Linked DNA regions of Rhinolophus ferrumequinum. The protein of the gene in region 3 binds, or shares a complex with, the protein of the main gene of each other region. Links are inferred from orthologs where the notes say so. Each region holds a gene or a part of one and is shown on either strand. Other genes may lie near its edges.

What was found.
Region 1: EPC1 (region 3) and VPS72 share a complex: the UniProt entries of both Homo sapiens proteins name them as parts of the nuA4-related complex. The link is inferred for Rhinolophus ferrumequinum from reciprocal best matches to the Homo sapiens genes EPC1 and VPS72.
Region 2: EPC1 (region 3) and MBTD1 share a complex: the UniProt entries of both Homo sapiens proteins name them as parts of the nuA4 histone acetyltransferase complex. The link is inferred for Rhinolophus ferrumequinum from reciprocal best matches to the Homo sapiens genes EPC1 and MBTD1.

The regions. Positions count from the first base shown.
Region 1 is NC_046305.1:51,233,070-51,240,968, forward strand, and holds the start of VPS72 (vacuolar protein sorting-associated protein 72 homolog), read right to left. Parts: upstream 3,073-7,899; 5' UTR 2,973-3,072; coding exon 2,856-2,972; intron 1-2,855. Other genes in the region: PIP5K1A (phosphatidylinositol 4-phosphate 5-kinase type-1 alpha), read left to right, coding at 6,831-6,912. UniProt on the Homo sapiens protein: Deposition-and-exchange histone chaperone specific for H2AZ1, specifically chaperones H2AZ1 and deposits it into nucleosomes.
Region 2 is NC_046304.1:32,514,331-32,521,952, reverse strand, and holds the start of MBTD1 (MBT domain-containing protein 1), read right to left. Parts: upstream 3,058-7,622; 5' UTR 2,794-3,057; intron 2,743-2,793; exon of another isoform or gene 2,509-2,742; intron 1,880-2,508; 5' UTR 1,817-1,879; intron 1-1,816. UniProt on the Homo sapiens protein: Chromatin reader component of the NuA4 histone acetyltransferase complex, a multiprotein complex involved in transcriptional activation of select genes principally by acetylation of nucleosomal histones H4 and H2A.
Region 3 is NC_046288.1:3,683,508-3,690,722, forward strand, and holds the start of EPC1 (enhancer of polycomb homolog 1), read right to left. Parts: upstream 3,069-7,215; 5' UTR 2,782-3,068; coding exon 2,629-2,781; intron 1-2,628. UniProt on the Homo sapiens protein: Component of the NuA4 histone acetyltransferase (HAT) complex, a multiprotein complex involved in transcriptional activation of select genes principally by acetylation of nucleosomal histones H4 and H2A.

The DNA.
Region 1 (7,899 bases), on a different chromosome or scaffold from region 3:
CTGGGAAGGTTTAAATATCAGACTTTATTCCTTTAGACCGGGGATTGGCAAACTTTTTCTGTAAAGGGCCATATCAGAACAGGTAATGAGCCAGATCTGTCCAGTGGTGTGTCGTTTGCTGAACCCTGCATTAGAGTGTCAAGAATGAAGAGAGCTTGGGCCATGTTGTAAAATACTGGTAGTATTTAGACAGGCAAGAGGGAAGAGGGAACCGTGGGCAGATGGAATAGCGGCAACAAAGCAGGACTGTGGATGGCACGTTCACGGAATAAGCATTTAGACCCAAGTAAAGCAGCTTTATCTCTGGCAAGGAGTCTCCCTAGCTGACTGCCTTTGGCTTCAACACAGCCTCCTCTCAACATTAATAGATTGTCCTATAGGTCTGTAAGATTTGAAAGGAAGGTTGCACTCAATCTATAGAGAAACTTAAATGTCAGGCTAAGAAACATGATTTTAACTTGCAGGCCGGTGCTTCTCAATCCTCTCCCTCTCCTTACTTGTCCCAGCGTTGATAATCACTGTTGAAGCAAACTAAAGTCACTGACAAATATGTCTCATCACTGAGATACAGGTCTCATTCCTCAGGTGTGTTGGGACAAAAAAACAACAGTTGGGTACTACTACGATGTATAGTGGGGAACCACTGAAGATTTGAGGGCAGAGGGAAACTGTGGGTGCGGCGTGTTGTAGAAAGCTCTGGAGGTGATTAAATGGGCTGGAGTAGAGAACATGGAGTACAGCCTAGACTTGCGGTGATGCAGATTAGGGCTAGATGGCAGCCACGTTGGAAAGGAAAGCACAAGAAAACAGTGGGGGCAGGCAAGTCGACTGGGTGGGGCGGCACCTCAAACACGTGGCTCTCTCTTCAAACAGTGATGCAGGCTAATGGGCTAATCTTTGCACACACGCTGCCAAACCAAGCAAATAAGAGACAGCTGACACTCCAAGCCAGCCGGAGTTCTATCTTGCACGGATGACCATCATTTCCTCCCAAGTGATGTCTGGGGAACAGCCTGGGAACACGCTAATCCCCTCAGCTCTAACCTGGTATTAAGTCATCTCACCACAGTCTAGGAGGTCAACTACACATTAGCTTAGGGCCTAATGGAAATGCTTTCACTCGGTTACGGATTTACTACCGTTCCTTTGGCTTTCATCGAGGGTCATTAATAGACATGACTAGGTAAGACAATGTTTTTACATCACCTACCAAACCCGTTACTCTATACGTCTTATATAAGGATGCGATTCTCCCTAGGATTGAATGCTGAATAAATCTGTGTCTCTTAAAGAACTTATATGCTTCTTTCTTACTAAAAAAGAAATTCAGGGTTTGACTGCCAGGAAACTCACAGCTAAATTTAATATCAATTGCTAGGACCATTTCAGCAAAGGCTCCTGGTACAATTACTTCTGATGTGTCTCTATTTTTGCTGTTCCTACTTTTTGTTTATATCGTAAGCCTCCTTAAATCCTTTTTGGAAGCATGATGGGTACATATTAAATAACGACTCGTAAAATGACAGGAATAGGAAAATGGCTTTTGGAAGAGGGATGAGAAAGTTCTATTTTAAACTAGCTGGTTAGGGCTATGTACGTAATGACTCTCCATCAGTCACCAAGTCCTGTGGATTCTGTTGCCTTGATTTCTCTTGAACCCTCCTGTCCATGGGTCTCTGCTCACACTGCCTCTTTCAAACCATTCTCCTCATCACAGAGCAAGCTTCTAAAGTACCAATCTGATCATCTTCTCAGTCCTCTGATGAAGAGCAAAATTCCTTAACAGTCACAAGGCCCTACACAATTTGGCCTATGCCTCACCCTCCATTCTTGCCAATTTTATTCTCCTTCATGGTCTGGAGAATCAGAGTAGATGTGTAGGTTCCAGGCCAGTGCCACAAACATGTAACTCCCTGGACTAACCTTTCTCCTCCGGGCTCCCAGGCCTACTGCTCTTCCTCCAGCCACGGCCTACTTGTCACACTGTCCTCAGCTTAAACATCATGTCCCGCAGAGATACCCATCTCGACCAACAACTCTGGCTCACATGTGTTACCATGGCACCTTATGCTTCCCTTATCACACACTATTTTAACTGACTGTTAACCCAGCGAGGTCGCCCACTGGGGTCTGGAATACAGAAGGACAAAACCGTGTTTTTAATAGTTCCCAGAGGGTTTACCACAGCTGTAGGTACTCAGCACATATTTAAAGGACGGATAGGTTCAATCAATACAGATCTCACGAGTGCCAAGCCAATCCGGACACTGGGCCAGGCACTGGGTTGCATACTGTTGAACAAAACAGACTATCTCTAACCTCACAGCACTTACAAACTAATAGGAAAGTATAAACAAGCTAAGCAAACCTAATTACAAAGAGAAATACGTTCCATGAAGGAAATAAATGAGGACACTTTTTAGGGCAGTCAAGGAAGGATTATCTTAGGAGACGTTTACACTGAGGTTTGAAAGCTGGAAAAGGAATAGGCTAAGCCTACTTTGGGGGGAAGCTTCTTTCTATACTTCAGATGCAAAATCAGCAGTGGGCCGACGAGGATATACCGCATGTCTACGAAGTGCCTGTCGCGTGCCAGACAGCAGAAGCGCGCTGAGAGATGCCACTAGAGGAATAGGAACACAGTGGGTTTCTGCCATACTCCGGGGTGCCCCAGAGAGCTCCTCTCTTCCTGCCCCGTCTAGGACTCCTATGCATCCCCCCGACTCGCCCACTCCGTCTCGAGTATCAACTGACAAGGCTCCGGTCTATTCCCCGCCCCCTTCTTTGTCCGAGGTTTCTCCCTTCAAGACTCCTCTTAGCTTTCTTCCCTCCCTCTTCCTGGGCCCAGCTCTTGCCTCCGTGAAACCCCCATAAGTCGTCTGGTAGAACTCATCTTCCTCCTCTGCCTCCAGGAGCCCAGAAAGCCGGTTCCCCGCGGTCTTCCGAGGGGCCCGGCCCCCAGCCAAACTCATAACGCCTACCGAGACTGCGCCGCCACCAGCGGCCCCTCACCCAGCGCGGTTCTCGGGGCTCGGCGCTCGACACCACTACCTGCGGGGGGCAGGCGGCGGCGGCGGAAATCGGTCGTCTGCAGGCAGAAGCAGCAGAGCGTCGAGGGGCTCCTAGTCCCGCCCCCTAGGCCAGCCCCGCCCACTCCTGCTCATACACCGCCCCCAAGCTCCCTGACCTGCGCGCAGACCTTGCCTATGGAATGATTCGACTCGGTGACACCAAGAGCCCCACTACTCTAAGTCCAAATTTGGGAGTCAACAAATTTTCATTTAGAAGAGGTCAGTCTCATTCTGCTCCAGTCCGTTTTCCACTCTGCTAGTAGGAACCTTTCTAAAAACCGAGATTTTGTCACTCTTCTGCTCAAACGTCTTTAATGGACGTTATATACAGGATAAAGTCCTTAAGGCGGAATAGTAGTGTGGTTAAAGGTAGAGCCTTAGAATCAGCCGGACCTGAGTATGAGTTTGAACTTAGGTCTTCTAGCTGTGTGACTTTGGACAAGTTGCTTTATCCCTCTGAATGTCAGTTTTTTCATCTGTAAAGTAGGACTAGTAATAATAACACCTACTTTGGAATGTTGTTAAGAAGATTAAGAGATATAATCCTTTTAAACTGCTTGGCACTGTATTTAGTGAGCTCATAGGTGTTTAGTAGGTGATAACTATGGCAAATATGGCATTTAAGAGCCTTCATAATTTGTTAATAGCATCTTCCTGCCTTTCTAGCCTCATCTCCTGACACATCATCCTATTCTAGCTTCACTTCCCTAACACCCAATTCTCTGCCATGTCTCCTGCTTTTCCTTCTTCTTAGAATCCCTTTCTTTTCCTGTCTATCTGGCAAAATTCTAATTGTACAGACCAGTGAAGTCTTCTTGCACACTCATTCCTTTTCCTAGAACAGTTCTCATAATCATGGAGATCATACCTCCTTGATTCTCTAGAATAGTTCCAATCTCAAAGAGTCTGTGGTATTGTCTAAGCCTCTGTATCAACTTCTCTTCCCATTTTTTTATTCTGAAAGTATGGTTGTCAAACCATAGCACATGCACACACTCCAAGACGGCACCTATTACATTTTATTCTAATGATTTATGTTTCTGTCTCTCTCATTAGTCTATGATCTTTTTGAGGGTAGGGACTTTATCTTCATCTGTGTATGCCAGGAAACTCTCATAGTGGGACTAAATAATTTTAACGAATGAATTAATGAAGGGCTGTTTGAATAAATTAGGTAACCATCCTCTTATTTTGCCTCTGTGTTGATCTTGGCAGCCCCTAGCCCATCCATTCTGACCTTAGGAACTGTTCAAAGATATGAAGGTCACTTTAATAAAGCTGGTGTGTGAGTGTGTGTGTGTGCTCTATTTCCTTCAAATCTGTATTCGTAGCCATATTTTGAGATCACGAAATTGTCCCCCTTTTCCAAAGTATATATTGGTGAACTCCCTTTTCCGTTTCCTTGGAGGCAGCAAGCCAACATGTCCTGCTCTGCCCCTCCTTCCACACCCTGCCACATCATTGAAGACCTGCTATGCCCGGAATGTTACTGGGCAGAGTGGCTCCATGACTCAGAGCATCCTGGGGATTGAGTGGGAGTGGGGGCAGAGACAAGGTTTGGGGAGAAAAGATGGGAGACACCCCTAGCCCAACTTTAAATGTTGCCTTCATTCATTCATATAGTCAAGAGACATGTGTTGGGCACCTACTCTGTGCCAGGCACTACTCTAGATCCTTGAGATATAAAAATAGATAAGATGTAGTCTTTGCCCTGAAATGTTCACAGTGTTATGAGGGAAACCAACAAGTTAACAGACTGACATAATACAAGGTGGTAGAAGTAACAGTAGCCATTTTCTGGTATAGAAAGGAGAAACAAAGACCCCTAAGAAGCTGCAAAATAAGGATGGATCTCTTTTTTCCGGAAGGCTGAAATAAATTTCATAGATCCAATCCCAGGGAGAAAACCCCATTTGACCTCCTGGTAAGTCAATTATTTGACTATTTCCAATTTAAAAATCAGAAACAGCTTTATCTCTACACCGGCTGATTTCTAAAATAACTCCAGAAATGATAGCAACTCCATGCCTTTTATGGAAACAAGGATAATTTATTCAACAAATATTTATTGAATGCCTATTAGCCAAATCGTATGCTAGATGGTGTGCCCACACCTGTCTATTTTTTGTACTGTTTAATTGGGTGGGGGGTATAGATGTAGGCAATCATAAAATACTTCAACACTACACAATTCCTCTGCTTTGGAATTACAAATGGCAATCCAATCATCTCAGTACCCAAAGGAGAATGAATAATCCAGCAGGTGGCAGCAGGGAAACAATTATTTTACATCTTGACGCTGGAGGGGTAGAAGGTAGAAAGGTCAATGCCTGGGGATAGTCTCTGCCTGGTCAGGTCCTAGGTTCCCTTTTGAAGACCCAGAATATATCCGGATAGAGGATAAACCAGGCCATCTTAGGGTCTACCAAACCTAGGATTTTTTTTCCATTTTCCTTCATTTATTCATTCCACAATAATGAAAGAGCCCCTACTATATGTACAGAGCCACATCAAGAGAGGAGCTGAAGATACAAGGGTAAATCAAACTGGTTGCTCTCCAGCAGTTTAATCTCTTCAGAGAGACACAGTCAGGTCTTCAATCTCCAACCGAGTTCACATCCTCCAGGGCACTTTGTTAAAACTGAGTAGGTACGAAGACTAAAATGGGGATATGCTCTGTGTATCTTCCATCCCTTTTGGAGCACAGATAAACGAGAGTTAGAGGCCAAGGGCTCAGAGCACGGGAAGATTGTGATATGGTTTGATCACTTTCCTTTTTGACAGGTCATCATTTATCATATTTACTGAACTCTGTCACTGTGCCCAGCATTGCGTTTGAGGCCAACGAAGTGTAAGATCTGTTTCGAAAGTCATTCAGAGGAAGGCAGGACACGACATGCACGCACGTTAAACTAAATAGTAAACAAAGCAGTAAAGCTGAAAGAATGCTTGGTGGCATGTGATATTTTGCGATAGTCGACTGCTTAACCTCTCCGACTTGCCCCTGGCGCTTCTATCGGGAGTTCTTCCCTGGGCTGTGAAATTGACAGGGCCCGCCAAGCCGACTCTCATCCCTATCTCAGGCGACGCAACCCAGTCCTTTCAAAGAGCCGAATGGAAATGGACCCACCGAGCCACCGTCGGGGCAGTCTGCGCCCCGGGGCGCGCACGTCTTCAATCCTTGGATTCGTTAGGGCCCGAGGGACCTGCGTCACGTAACTAGTCGCGGCCTCCGGATTGGCTGTGACCCTCTCGGGTCCTCCCTCCCCCCCCACTGAGTGGGCTGGAACGCTGGGAAGGCTGGGCGCATGCGCAGTGCCTGGATTTCACTGGCCGCCCGGAGCGGTGGAGTTGGGCGATAAACAGGCTGTGTGACTAGGGAGGAGGGGGAAGGGGCGCTCGCTCCGCGGGGACTTCTCACGCCCCCTTATTCCTTTACGTGTGATTTGGTCGGGACGTGTGGTCCCGGCCGCCGGCTTGAGCCTACTCTCTTGTGAAAGGGTAAAGTAGCTCTGGCGGAAAGCGGTTCAAGTTGCCGAGAGGGTGCGAGACGCGGGTCGTCCCCCATGCCCGCGGAATGGTGTGTCCCTGAGCTGGTCCAGGAGCCGGCCCGACGTGTCTGAGAGAGGCCCGGGAGGGGGCGGGAGGGGGCCCGCAGAACGCGGGTTCTGTGAAGAGACGTGGGGAAGATTCGACTCCGAGAAGAGGAAGAACCGGATTGAAGGGGAGCGAGGCCGTGAGGGGGAGGGGGCTGCCAAGATGGCGTCGGCCTCCTCTGGGCCGTCGTCGGGCGGGTTTTCGTCGGTGGATTCCGGGGTTCCTGGCTGCACCTCGTCCTCAGGTAATCAGGGCGGGGCGTGGGCAGGGGGCGGATGACGGCTGTGCGGTGGGAGCAAAGAGCGAGGTGTGGGAGGGCACCTGTAGCTGGGGATGTCCGAGGAGGTGCCGGTTAGGAGGACAGATGGCTGGGCTTTTCCCGTGGCTGGGCTTTCAAATAGCAGGGCTTTCTGAGCGGGCCGGGGAGTCCGAGGAAAGGATGGATTGGACTGGGCAAACGGAGGCCGTCGACAACGCTGGCTGTCTTCGAGGAGGCCGAGTTGAGGACTCGAAGGAATAGGGTCAGGAAGGGCTGGAGATGGACGGCGAGGGTTAGGGAGGAAACAGCAGGGAAACCGAAGGGAGTTGAGAAAAGTCAACGGAGGCCTCCTAAGCGGGGAGGAATCAGTGTGAGAGGCCAGCTGATTGTGTGTGGGGTGAATGGGATAAAAATATGGAAGAAAAGCCACGGGACTTAACAGATATGGAAGAGTGATGACACGCTTTCGATTGCTGGGGAGTTGAGGGAATTGGGAATTTTGTTGAGGGTGGGAGTTGCTGGAGACGTCCTTTTCCTCGGAGGCTCCCCCTAATGCGTCATTCCTTTGCGCTTGGTGCCCCCATCCTCCCACATACCCCGGCGTGTGCTCGCACAGACACGTTTTACCAAACATCCAGCCTTGACGACTCCTCTCTCTCCACTCACCGAGTTTGGGAAGGAATGAGAAGTTTTGAAGGGAGCCTGAGGGACGTGGAAAATGAGGGTTAAAGGAGCCTACTAACAGACGGAGAAGGTGGAATGATGCAGTAGAGGCTGAGAGAGGTGGTGTTGTGAAGCAGGTGTGAGGAGGACGGAGTTGGGGGGGGCTCTGAGTGCTGTGGGGAAATACTGGATTATATAATAGGAAATGGACTGCAAGAATGCTTAGGCTCTGTGAGGAAATGGGCCCTTGGAGAATGGAGCCAGGGACGACCGCGCAAAGTAGTTAGAAGCTATGGAAGATTGAGGGAG
Region 2 (7,622 bases), on a different chromosome or scaffold from region 3:
TTTTAGAATGTGGTCACTCAAACCACTGTACTCTGGGCTTATAGTAATTTAGTGGTTCAGTATTTATGATATTAATATGTTGTTTTCACTTCTAAGCTATAGTTTTACCTTCTTTTGACTACTATGTTATGTTTTAAAACCATTTAAATTGCTAACTTCCAATGTAATTGAAGGACTAGAAGCATCTAGGAAGGTTTAGACACTAATTAGGTCAACATATAGCCAGCCATAAAAAATACAGCACCGTGTTCTTTAAAAATAAAACCAGTTGTTCCTGTCTAGTATGTTTAGAATGCAAACGACTCCAAAGTCAGTCAACTTAAGTCATGACAGTTCATGTTTAAAGCAAGCAGGAAGTAACTTGGAGCTCCATATTAAAACTTTACTTACAACTTTAAAGACAGACTTTTACATCTATATTATTTCTTTTCAGTATCTAGAATCCATTGCCATGTTAAATTCTAGTGACTAGATTTATAGGAAATACTGTATGTCAAAGTTTGTATAAAATTATAAATTAAATGGTTAAAAAACATGGCCCAAATAAGATACTTATGAACAGATACTTATTCAAGACAGTTTTTGCCATAATTTGCAAGGCATCCAGAAGCCTTGAGTATGGGTTCTATATAAATAGAAACTATTTGTTATTCAGAGGAGGCAGTGCAAAAAAAGCTGTTTTCTTTCTAAACACTCTCTAGTGTTGAGGTAAACAAATGAAAAAAAATATAGTTTAAGCACACTGGAGCAGAACAACAGTCTCTAAGTCATAAAAGGGGGAGAGAGAAAAAATGTCTGTGCTCTAACATTTTAAACGGGACTGGGAGTTTAAAGTGAAATTTATTCCCTGGCTTTTAGATCGGATTCATTACTTCTACATTTTCCCTGTTATGTCTGGACTCCCACTTCACCATAGTAGGAAGAGGAAAACATGTGCCCCCAAGATTCTCATGCCAACAAAACTATCATACTTTTGGAGGCAGTAAAGCTCACCAAATGAAGGAGAACAATAGAAAAACACTAAGTGACAGACAATAGTAGAAACTGAACTCTCTCAACTACCAACCGATAAATACTGGCACATATTAATGTAAAAAGCACAAAAAATATCGCAAACTAAGCAAATATTAAAGTGTTGCAAAAGTTTCAAAGCTCATAAAAGACTTGGAAAAAACTAGAAAGAAATGAAAGCACTGTGAAAGAGAGGCCCTGAAAAGGAAGACCAGCTTTGAAGGAAAACGCAGGTCAAAAGGAGGAAGGGGGGTTTCTTCCGATCATCCCTCTAATAGCGTCAGTACTACCCCCAAGAAGCAGTTTTAGGCGCATCCTTAGGGAAAGCGCTTTAGGCAACGAGCAAAGGTGCTCTGAGACAGAACTACAGAGATGCTGCTGAAATTTCAAAGAGATGCACTAGCGAGAGAGCACAGGCACGAAATCCCCAAACCATACTTTCCAAGCTTTCAGTAGTAAAATATCAATCCTTCTTAGACACATAAGCCACCACTTTTGAAACTTGACCCCGCAAAGTCTTCAGCAAGGACCTCACTAGCTCGCAAACCCTCCTCCCTCCACTTCCCTGACGTTCTTTCCTGGCACACAAAATATAGGCCAGTGAGCGGTGGGTGGGTGAGTGAGGAGGATGTGAGAGAAAATTTGAGAAGTAAAAAAGGGAGCAGCGTAACCAGGACATGAAGAGACTGCAGGGTCTGTTAAGGGGAGGCAAACAATCAGGACAACTGAAAAACAGAGCAGGCTTTCCTGGCTAGCAGCGATCGCTCGTGTTTGCAGGAGTTTAAGCAAAGGCCAGGCTACCTACCAGTTGTCAGAGAAGCTGCAGAGGGGACGGCTGCTGTGATGACCTCTAATGTCTCTTCCGACTCTGAAATGTTAGGATTCTTATTTCACAAAAGAGAACACACTCGTCATAGAAGCCCACGGACCTAGAACCCTTGTAAACTACAGCGGCCCAGGCGGCTGCTTCGCAAACACCACTCCCACCTCTCCCTCCCACATGTGCCCACCCCGCCCCCTTTCAATATTTCCACCTCCACGTGCGAAAGGCCTCGCGGCACTCGCCCTAAAGCGGCCCGGCGCCTTCCTCCACAAAGTACTACAACTAGGCCTCCCTGGGGGAAGTGAGGACTCCACTCTCCCACCCTGGGCGGCTGAAAAAGGGAAAGTCTCAAACCCAGACTTCTTCTACAGCCAGAGCTGAAGGGGGAGGGGGCGGGACGCAGAGGAAAACTTTCTTTTAAAATTTTTGTTCCAGATAGAGAAAAGTGTAGAGAGAACCCCGAGGAGAGCGGGGCTGAGGGGGTGGGGGGAGGGGAACCCCCTGGATCGTTTAACGGCCGGTAGGGGGAGGGGAGCTCCGGAGGTTGAGGGGGCGTGGGATGGAGAAACAGGCCTGGGAGCCGGGTCAAGGAGCTGCAGGACTTCCTAGGGTCGGGGAGCTGCAAGCGTCCCCCCCACCTGGTACACAAAGCGGCTGCCGCGCTAGGCTCTCACCAGATCCTTTGTGTTTTCCATCAGGGCCTCATGGGTAGGGGTTGTCCGTGCTCCCCGGGCCGGCGGCGCCCTCTCCCCGGGCTGGGGTCAGGCGCCTCTCCCCGGGACTACGGCGACTACAGGGGTGCCCTGGCTGGGCCCAGACCGGTGGCGGCTGCGGCAGCCCCCGGATTTCCCCCCTTTAACTCGGGTGGCCCCAGGATATCAACAACATTAGCATAGCCCTCCCTCCCCAGCGCGCCTGCGCCGTGACCCGCGCCCCGATTGGCCCACTTCCCTACATACCCTCCTCTCTCTCTTCCAGCGTGGGACCCTCTGCAGGCTCCGTACTCCAAGGGCCGTACCAAGACGGAGGGGTGGAAAAGGCAATTGAGGCTCGTGTTAAGTCGAGTGGTCAAAAAGTCAGGAGAAAGAGAAGTTTCATTCAGTCATCTTAGTTTATACTCTGGCTTTCTTGTGCTCCTTTCAATCAGTTGAAGCTGCTAAGTTGTGTTGGAAAAAATTTTCCACTCCAGTCACGCCGCCTCCCCTTCCACCCGGAAGATTGGTCCTCCCGGAGGAACTCCCATACGGGGAGGGGCTCGTGAGGGGAGTGGGCGTTACGTAGGGAAAAAGAGTGTTGGTCACGTGCTAGCAGGCTGCGCAGGCTCCTTCCCTCCCGCCGGGGCCTCAGCTACAGTGGCTAGACAGGCGCTTCGGCGCACGCGCAGTGAGGCTCCACGTGAGTACCTGCGTTTCTTCTCAAAGCTAACGATGCCGCCTGAACGGGGCACCCGAACGAGACCGGACCGGAGAACCGGAACGAGGTTGAACCAGAAGACTCGAATGAAGCGGGATCGGAGAGCCGGAGCGGGGCCGGACGGGCCGCCCCGAAAGGCTGCTCCTTCATCCCAGCGGAAACCGCTGACTCGGCCGAGAGCAGCGGCCGCTGCGATCGCAATCGCCGTGGAGGAGGAGAAACGGCTCCGGCAGCGGAACCGCCTGACGCTGGAGGAGGACAAGCCAGTAGTGGAGCGGTGCCTGGAGGAGCTGGTCTTCGGCGACGTCGAGGACAATGAGGACGCGCTGCTGCAGCGTTTGCGAGGCCCACGGGTGAGGGAGTCCGCGGCGAGCGGGCTGGGCGCGCTCGGGTGGGGCGCGCGCTGGGCGGCAAGCCTCCGGGGACGGAGTCTAGGCGACCTGCGACGCCGGGGAGCTCTCAGGTGGGAGGGAGCCCGAGAACGCGGGCGCCGACGGGGCTCAAACGGAAAGTCTCGGGAGGGCGGAGACCGCGCCTTTCTCCGCCCCCGTGGGAGCCTCTGCGCCTAGTATCCAGCAGGCGCTCAACACGTATTTGTTTAGCGAACTGGGTCATGCGCATCTTTGGTGATTCAGCCCCACTATCCTCAAACTCAGTGTTTTTTTCCTTGTGTTCGGACGATCGCCTGCCTCGGTACCTTGCGGTGATTCAGGAGTTCCACTTCGTTTGTGGAATCTGAATTCGTGGGCACGGGCCTGGGAATCTGCCTTTTAACATCTCCCCAAGTGATTGACTCGCCAATCTTTGAGAATGACCACGTATTCGTTTTTTCAAGTATTTGTGAGCCTATCGGGTACTAGATACTTTTCCTGGTTGTAAAAACCCTGAGTTGTTATAATTTTTGCACTTTCTCTCATCCTTTTTATTATATATCTGGAATTTTTCCGAAGATAGTCCCAGGCATTGTTCTAGGCATTGGAGGAGAAACAGCAGTGGATAAAAATTGACAAAAATCCCTGCCTCCTGGAGTACTAGTGGCAGAGGCAGAAAATAAAGGAGATAAGTACTTCTGTAAAACTCAAGTATGTCAATGACTAGTCCTGAAAAGAAAAACATTAAAGCACTTGAGAAAAAGGAGATAAGTGTGTGTAGAGAGAAGGTCTGTGACATTTTACTTAGGATGGTCAAATAAAGCCTCACTGAGAATTATGCAGTCTGGCAAATGAACGTGGACCTAGCAAGTATCAACTGATTGATTGCCAGAACCTCCTTTGGGTGCTTACGGATGAAGCTGCAGAAACTTAGTAGGGAATCAGAGAACTACTACTGGAAAAGTGCTGAACTGTGTGACAGTTTCCTAGTCAGGAAAAGAAACAGTCCACATGAAGTGGGATTTGTTGGGTTTTGAAGGATAATAGGCTGGTAACAGCAAGTAGAAATCATTTGGACATTTCTATCGTGGTTTTGGGAAAGCTCAAGCTCACTTTAGGGAGTACTCTGTGGTCTACATTTAGACTTGATAGTACAGTATAAAGTTTGAAAAGGTAGGGGATCAAGAACGATTAAGAAAAATGGAGAAGAGGTATGTCTAAGAATATGAAATATGAGTTAACTATGATATTCAATTATGTTATTTTATTTTTAAAGATTTTGTTGGGGAAGGGGAACAGAAATTTATTGGGGAACAGTGTGTACTTCCAGGACTTTTTTCCCAAGTCAAGTCGTCCTTTCAATCTTAGTTGTGGAGGGTGCTGTTCAGCTTCAAGTTGTCCTTTCAATCTTAGTTGTGGAGGGCGCAGCTCTGCTCCAGGTCCAGTTGCCGTTGTTAGTTGCAGGGGGCGCAGCCCACCATCCCTTGGGGGAATCGAACCGGCAACCTTGTGGTTGAGAGGACGCTTTCCAACCAACTGAGCCATCTGGGAGCTCAGCGGCAGCTCAGCTCAAGGTGCCGTGTTCAATCTTAGTTGCAGGGGGCAGAGCCCACCATCCCTTGCGTGACTCGAGAAATTGAACTGGCAGCTTTGTGGTTGAGAGTCCACTGCCCATGTGGGAATCGAACTGGCAGCCATCGGAGTTAGGAGCATGGAGCTCTAACCGCCTGAGCCACCGGGCTGGCCATGTTATTTTATTTTTGATGCTAGTTTGCCTCTGGTCCCTTAATTTCTGGAGTTCCTGGTCTCCCGCCCCCCCCCCCCCTTTCTTTATCGGTCATCTTCCTTTTGTTGTTCTTGTCTTACTTGGTGTTTTCCTGTGAGCATGTAGACTTTCACTCCTTGACTGTTCCATCTTACCTCACCTGCTCAGCCTGTGGTGCCATTCTCTAATCTTATTTTCTATTCTGTCTTCAGCATTTCCTGTGATAGCATTCTGTCCTATTTCATCAGAGGGTTGTAAAAGCAAACCATTCTACAAGCCATTTGACTTCAAGATGTGTGTGTCTGCCACCATTGGATGTGAAAAATTCAGTGCTTGAGATCGTTTTGTCTTCTCAAGGTTCAAGCACTGGAAGACTCAGGTGACTCTGAAGTGGAGAATGAAGCGAAAGATAATTTCCCACCTCAAAAGAAGCCAGTTTGGGTGGATGAAGAAGATGAAGATGAGGAAATGTAAGTTGCCTAACTTTTCTTCCAGAATCCCTCTGAATACTTTCAAAATTATATTGCACATTTTGTAAAAAGTTCTCTTTATGAATATGTGATTATGTGAAGATTTGAAAAATAATGGGAAAGTATAGGAAAGGTCATTCTTAATCCAGCCACCGAGGTAGAACCACTATCAACATGTTGGCCCTCTCCTCTTCTTCGCAGTCTAGACTTGCGTTTGCCTCCTGATTTGACCAGTTCCTAACTGACCATGGACAAGTTTATAAAATGGGAATGATGATAGTAATTGTGTCAGAAGGCTTTTGAGATTAAACGAAATAGTGTATGTAGAGCTCTTAGCATAGAACCTGAAACCGAGAAAAGGCTAAAAAAAGTTAGCTAATAACACACAATATGTACTTGGATAAGAATGAGTATATCGCACACCTTTCTCCTCACTTTAAAAAAACCTGTATAAACATTTTTAAATGGATGTGTTATAGTTCATGTATGAATTAACTATAATTTCCATAGCTAATTAACATATTTGTCTCCTCATATAGTTACCTTTTTTGTGTTGAGAGCACCTGAAACCTATTCTCTTAGTAAATTTGTAGTATACAATACGGTATTATTAACTGTAGTCAGGCTGTATATTAGCTCTCTAGGCTTATTCATCCTACATAACTGCAACTTTGTAACTTTTGACCAACGTCTCCCCATTTCCCCCACTTCTCCACCAGTGGTAACCACCATTCTACTTTATGCTTCTATGTGTTTTACTTTTTTTAGGTTACACATACAAGTGAGATCATTCAGTATTTTTCCTTTGTACCTGTCATATTTCACCTAGCATTATGTCCTCCAGGTTCATTCATGTCACAAATGGCAGGATGAGACTGTTTCTTAATGATCTTCCTATATCAACTCCTTATATACTGAGAATTTCAGACCTTGATATGTCAAATTTATTGTAGATTTTCTCCCAGCTTTGTTTGCCTTTTAATTTTGTTGTTAATGTTGTCAGAGTAGTTAAATTTTTAGATAGTCAAATCTGTGAATTTTTTCTCCTTTTTTTGTTGTTGTTTTTAACAGTAAAAAGTCCATCAGAGAGAGAGAAATGTTTGCCTATATTCTTCCTTCATAGTATTTTAAGGTTTGGGTTTTTTTTAATATATTTAATTCTTTGTTTTACCTAGAATTTATTTAGGTGAATGGCATAAGCCACGTCTAGATAAGTCATTATGAATTGGAAATATTAGTTCTTCAAAGAGTAAACTGGATGATCTGAAATATTGGAGACTCCTTGCTGTTTTGGGAAAAATGGAGAATGTGTGTCTGAGATGGTTCAGGTCTTATAAATCTTGATATATATATTGTTCAATTAAATATTTTCTCTAACTACTAAAGGCAACAACTATTTATGTTGGTTCTTTAAAAGTCATTTAAAGTACGCTCTTCTGTTTTTTATAGGGTTGACATGATAAGCAATCGTTTTCGGAAAGATATGATGAAAAACACCAGTGAAAATAAACTGTCAAAAGATGAGCTTCAAAAAAGACTTAAAGAAGAGTAAGTATCCTTTTTTATACAGTTTAATCAGGAGGTGTTTATAACCAGTTTATTTTGATTCACTCAGTCTTTGGCTGTAATAGCATTGCTATTGGGACAAATGATTAAATTTTAGTATTTTGGGGGAAGAGGAAATACAAGTCCAAAAATATCTGGAAAAAATTTGTAATCCCACCACCCAAATATAATCAGTGATGATATTGCTTACTTGTTTCATTTGT
Region 3 (7,215 bases):
ACCATAGAAACAAACTATGGTAAAAATTACCAGGTATAGTTCACCTCACAGTTTTGCAGATACATTTTGATCATTTCATGAAATACTTTCTTAATGAAGTGGTGTATACAAAACTGTTCTTATCCAAAAACTGTCCCATCTTTCATGATCAACATAGGATTATGCTTTTTCTAAACGAGACACTCAATTAAGGTTATAGGTCACTCAACCTAAGAGACACCCCAACTAATGTGTCAAAGGCAAAAGTTTGTTTAAACTTTTTGTCTTTATAAGTAAATCATGCTTCAACAAATTATTAAAAAAAAATTTGTTTCTCTAAGGTTTAGTCAGAATTCAATTACGTTTATTTATGCTTAGTACACATTTTCTTAATTGTGTAACATGCTACTTTCAATATTGTGATTTATATAGCCACTACCACCAGCATGAGCCACAGGAATATAGAACAGCTGTTTACCTGGTACTGTTTATATTCTTCTATTAAGTTCAGTATCTATTCCTGAGGTCTATGCTTCACTGATCATAGTTTTGGTTGGATGTGAAGTGAAACAGAGGATAGAAAAAGGTAGTGAAGGGAAAAAAAAAAATCTCTTATGGCCCGCAAACAGACTCCACGTGTGTTACAAACTAATGAGATCCACTGCGCTATAAAATGTCAAAGTATTTCAGTGAAGAAAAAATTATCTGTAATATTTAACAAGCGTATTGCTACCTGAGTTGATCTCAGCTTTGATTTCAGGTTGTAGCTCTTGGTCCTCTCCAAGACTTAACTAAAGCAAGACTTAAATAAATTTCTAAAGTGTACTGTAGTGCTATCTTGCTTTTACCAGGGTTCTCCCCTTCCTTGGCTGCAAAACAAGAACTACAAATTAATTTCCAGGGCAGTGTAACACCAATACCCCAAATTTCAAGTATTATCTGTAAAACTTAAAAATAGAAACAAAAATAAAACCAAAAGACAACATTCTGCAGTCACAAGTACTTTAATTTTTAAAAACAAATCACTCATTTAAAAATGAACAAATGGCACCATTCTACTCTGTTGATACAAGTAAATTTAGAGTTCTGTCTCATAATGTGCTGCAAGTCGGTACTACATCCGACAATCTCAACTACTACATACACTTAACACTTAGCTTATCTGTAGTTAGATTTCAGACACTACTCTCAAAAGTAACATTCGACTGTCACAACTATTTTACTTTAAAAGGTTGAACAACCCAAACAGTTTAAACAGCTTTATTTTCAAAATCAACATTACAGAGCATAATTTCCACATTTAAAATTCTTACAGTTACCAATAGAGGTATTACAGTACAATTTTCCACAACAAAATTGTAGCACACAAATCCAGCGACTCCTCGACTTCCTTGAACTGTCAATACACTGCACCCTGTTTAAATGGCTGTACCTGAAAACCAAGGAATGCAATTCCTTAGGATTAGAAGTCATCAAGTTATACTGTCAAGGATCTGGGGGAAATGAGAGGAAGATTCTATTATCCTTGTGTCTAAACCCAACTTCTATAACAAGGTAAAGCCACAGCTATGATCAAATGTCTATTAGCTGTAAATATTTAAATACTGAAACCCACCTAAATTAGGTATCTCGATGTTAAGATTTCTGTGAATGAATTCACTTCAGTTCGATTCTGGATGAGAAAAGTCCCTCTTTCAAAATTTAGATCTGTAACATCTACTTAAATTGGGTGTTTTCTCTCCCCACGTTGAGAAACCAGAAAGCATGCGAACTTAAATTTTATTTTTAAAAAAACCCAATAATAATGAAGTTACATGTTTTAGAAGAGCCACGCACTCCAAAAAAAACAGAAGAAAAACCTGCAACATACTCTCAAGGATCAAAGGAAAACTCAGGGACGTTTATATATCCTCCGACTAACTAGACTTGGGAAGGGATGGATGCAAAAGTCCCAGAACGAGGATACAGAAAATGAGTCTTACATGTTATGAAAGTCAGTCGTCTGGGCAAACAAGCAGTACCCTCGACATTTCGTTGCAGGGAAGGAGATACAAGCCTCAAAGACCTACAGTCAACATTACATGCCCCTGTGAAGCTCCACGTGGGGGCCGCACTGAGCCTCACAAGCTTTCCCCGCCACCGGGAACTGAAGTACCCCTACAGGACACAGAATCTGCGCTCCCCGGCGCCGGCAGCGCGCGAAGGCCGAGGTGGCCCTAGAGCGCCACCCAGCGGCCCGCGGAGCGGCCTGCAGGCGGGTCCTCCCCGGCTCCCGGATCGCCGCACCCCCACCGCCACCCAGCCCGTTCCTCTCCGGATGCACAAGGCCCAACCCAACAACTGAGACCACAAAATGGCTGCCGGCAGCTTCGTCACGTGACCCCTTTGTGCCTTTTGGGTTCCCGAACTCCGTGGGACCCGGGTACAAGTGGCCGGGGTCGGCGGGTGGCCTCAGTGGAGACCCCGCCGGGCCGTGGCGGCTGGGGGTCGAGGCCGGGGGAGGCGGGGTAAAGGCCCGGCCGGCGACTGAGAGTCGGCGGCGGAGAGAAGATGGCGGCCATTTTGTGTGGGTTTGCTGCTCCGCCGCCGCCGCAGGCAGCAGAGGGAGCGGGGCCTGGCGGTGGGTCGGACAGGGGAGTTAACACGTACCGACTCCTCTTCCTTCTCCATTCCGGTGGGCATCTGCGGCACGGCCCGGTTTATCGAGGCGTATTCGTGCAGGTCGGGCAGATCCTCACAGCGGAAAACCGGCAGCGGCTTCGAGGCGTCTAGCGCCCGCGCCCGAAACGACAGTTTACTCATCTCAGGCGCAGCAGATACCTCTCCGCTCTGGGGAAACGGCCCCGGCCAGCGGGATCATGGAGAACCGGGGGTTCGGTCCCCACTCGCCTACCGCTGCCGGGGACTTGAGGGGCGGAGCGCAGAGCCCGCCGTCCGGGCACTAACAGCAGCCGGGAGGGTGGGAGGCTGTGCCGCTCCGCTCCTCTCTCGCTCGCTCTCTTCAATACGCCATGGCCAACATGGCGGACATTAAAACTCCACTGTGCGCTCTTCAGCCAACCCCAGCCATTCCCCACACTGCATCGCGCAGCGGCGCGGGCACGCGGGCGCGGAGGGGGGGGGGGGAGCGCGGGCTCGAGCGGGCGCCGGCACGGAGCGCGCGTCCCGCCAACCCCCGGCGCCCGCCGGCCGCGCTGTCCGCGCCTGGCTGCTCGAGGCCCCCGCCCTCTGCGGGTCTGGAGGCGGCCGGGGCGGAGTGGGCGCTCGGACGCCGGGAGCCGACTCCCCGCGCCTCCTCTCGCTGCCCGCACTCGCTCACTTTCTCACGCTCGCTCGCTCGCTCCCAGCGCCGTTTGCTGACAGGCGAAGGTGCAGGGAAACTATGTGCACCGCACGCCGGCTTTCCGAATGGCCACGGCGGGAGAATTGGCTGGGCGGCGCTATTGCCCGGGACAGGCGAGCTCCGGCACCTGTCACCCCCGCTCGCAGCCGGGATCGGGGCAGGGGCGATGCCGGAGGCCACGGCCGTGGGCGGTGGGGTTAGGAGCGGCGCTCCGGGGGCGCTGCGCACCGATGGCAGTCTGTGGGTGATACATAGTTATCGCTGCGTTTTAGGTCCTTAAAACAAAATGCAAACGAAATTAGGGGCAAAATGCTACTTCAGGTGAACTTTCGCCAGCAATTATTTTTACGTCTAAGGAAAATGGATTATAATATTTGAGAGGCTCCGCAACAAATCACTGGTCAGTTCCCACCTATCGGGCTCAATATAAACGGTTGTTACCCTACTCTGATATAAAGTAGGGGTTTTTTTTTAATCCTGCATTTTATCTACTCATATTCACTCTTTTATTACAATTGAAGCAAAGGGGATATTTATTATCAGATAAATGTTTAAGAAAAAAATTAAAGTAAGACCTTCAAAATTTTAGAGCCATTTGTAGCTCATGATTTTTGTTGGTACTGAAAGAAAATGCTAGTTCAACATAGTTAATGAATTGACACCATTTATTCTCTGAAAAACTTTATAAAATTGAATCATACAAAGATCTGTAGTGCTCCTGCCAAACCGAAAAAGAGTAAAGGAAAAGCTGTATTAGAGAGCTTTAGATGCATGTGCTAGATTGTTAATATTTGGTTTATATTACACACGAAAACGGTTATGCCCAGAGAGCTCTTTCCAGCAGAGTATTTTAAAAATCAGAAAGACTGTTTTAATGGGATGGGTTTAATCAGTTTGGCAGCAAAATTTCATATGTTCACTGAGATACAAAAATGTTTCTTTAAGTCTGCTCTTCTCCCTGGAGGCTACATAGTAAAAATAATCATTACTCAAATACTGGGTTGGATAGGAACTGTTACTAGCTTACAGCCCATAGGCACACTGCTGTCTTTCAGGCTGATTTAGCTACACCTTGGTGGGGAAGACACAAGGTGAGCAGAGACTGGAGTTCTCCAAAATTATCCTAAAACTCTAATATTGACAATTCACCTCTGTGAGGCAGAGGGATTTCCATTTATACTTCCTATACTAAGACTGTGCACTTAATCTTTCAATGAAAAACATTTATTGGGCCCTCATGGCCTAAGTATGCTGCTGGTTACTTAGCACCCATAAGGCTCCTGGAGGAGCTAGCACAGTGGGAGAAGGACCTGTGGATGGCAACTGCCACAACTGATGTGAGGCAATCGTGGGAACAGGCAGGAGTGGCACCCAATCCATGGGGAGTGGCTCTAATGAAAGCATTCAGGGAAGGCTTTTTGGAGGAGATGATATCTGAGAAAAAAATACATCGGATAAGTACGGGTTAACCTTGCAGAAAAATGAAGAGATGAAAGGTATTTTAGGCAAGGGAAGGAGCATGTGCAAAGACTCCAAGTCATGAGAGACAATGTCACAGTCTGGGATCCTCAAGAATTGTCAACTGCACTGTGGAATAAGACACCTATCAAGCCAGGTTTAACAGTTCTGAAAATTCTGGCTGAATGTTAGTACAGCAGTCCTCTTCAGCCGACTGTGTTAGATTTCTGAAAATCCTACTAGTTGAATTTGGTTGCTTGAGGAACCTAAGACTTTATAGAACAAAGTAGTCTTAAGTCATGAGTGAACCACCAAGGAAACGAACATAGAATATTTAACCTTCATTAAAATAACAGCCTACAGATAACATGTTCCACACCCTGCATTAGTAATAATGGGCACTATACAACTAAGTTTCTTGTTCCCTAGAAATTGTAGCATCACCCTCCACAGCAAGTTGAGATATATGCTTACAAATTAAGCTTGCCCTTTTTGCAGATAACATGCCTGCTAGGAGGCATCTTCTTTCTGCACTGGTTCCTCATCCAGCCTCAATGCTCTGGATTTCTGACTTCCAGGTCCTACTGGGTTCCCAAGGACCCAAAGGCTGGAGTCCCAAACCTCTTATATTCAGTTTACTTCCCTACCTTCTAAGGGGCAGGAGTGCAGCAATAAAGGTTCAGGTTTAATTTTCTTGAGCTTCCTTTATCTAACCAAAAGTTTCCTTGCACAAATGGCTAATCCTGCACAGTCTTTCACGTTAACTCCTTTTATTCCCCTAAAGTTCCCTCTTTTTCTAAGTATCTCCAACAATGGTGACATAAAATTCTCAATGGTACAAAAGATGCATACTAGCGTAAAACTGAATACACTAACCTTTCCTCAAAGGGAAAGTTTTTGTTGGGAAGGAATTTGCAGTATTTAAAATACTTTTGATTCATGCCATAAATATTTACTGAATACCTAGGCAACACACAGTACCATCATTGTAGGGGATATAAATAAAAATACTGATAAAGGTTAATCAAATGACCAGAACAAGGCAGCATGGTGAAATGCAGTCAGGGAGTTCAGAAGGAAAGCAGTCAGTTCTAGCTGGATTGATCAGACATGGAGAAGTGAGCAGGTGATGTGGTTGTGAAGAATGACTAAGATCCCAACTGGTAATGGGAATGAAATGGTAGGAGAAAGGGTAGTCATGGTCCAGAGCAACAGTGTGAACAAAATGGTGGGAGGAGGAAACTGGCAGGTGTGCTTGAAGATGAGAAAGTTTACTTGGCCAGAGTTCATAGGAAACTCCAATAACAATCCGGGTAAAACTGGTAAGAACTTGGGTGGAGGGAGTAGGAGTAGAAAGTAAAGAGACAGAAGTTTTAATGGTAAAAATGAAACTACTTATAGTATCATTACCCTGAAATGTGATTCATTTCAATTTGTATCAAATACAGAACTTCTGCTTAAACAACAAAATAGAATGTGTCAAATGCACTGCAGTTTGCTGCATATAATAAACCTGACGTATGGCTCTACATGTTAGTTTATGTCCAATATGTGCCCAAGTCCTTTTATTTCTTCTTAAAATTGTTTCTGGGATTTGACTCATTATTTCCATTCCCATTGTCTTAATCATATCTCAGTTCTCATCACGTCCTACCTACAAACAACCTCCAATCCATTTTTTAATTCATTACTTTGATAAACCTTTATTAAGCTCCTACTTTACAAGAAACTATGCTAGTACTCTCCTAATAGTGGCTAAAGGGAACCCACAGTGGCTAGTACAAGCTGTGGGTCCCTGGGACTATGAAGAACACAGTTCAAACTGCCTTCAGGGCTTCATAATGCATGCCACCAAATCCAAGTGCCCAAAACCCCACCTCCATCTGTATCCTCCCTTCCCCATGTCATTTATTTATAACTGCTCTTTATTTTGCTATTCCACAAAGCCTTTGCTTTTTTTTTTTTTTTTGGTATAGTTGTCAAAGCCTCATAATTTTGCCTCGCTGTATATCCAACAACATTTCTCATCACCACCTAAGACAAGCTCCTCATCTTTAGAAATCAGCATGTCTTTCCTGCCTCCAGGTTTTTATTCATTCCTTTCTCTCCATTCTTCCTGTCTGGCTGCAGACCATCTACTTCTACTGAAATGCTACCTTACATTTTTGAGGATTAAATAAAACAACCCATGTAAAGCATTTAGAATGGTCTCTGGCCCACAGAAAACATTCAGTAGATATCAACTATTGTTATTATCCCTCAAAATCCAACTCAACTATCACCTCCTTCATGCAACTTTCTTTGACTACTCAACCTCTCTGAGTCCTAATTTCCTAATCTGAAGAATGAGTGAGTGGGTAGGTGAATTCAAAATAATTCTTAAGCCTATACCAATGTTTTTCATCTGTGAATTCCTATTACACTTTTAATCAGTA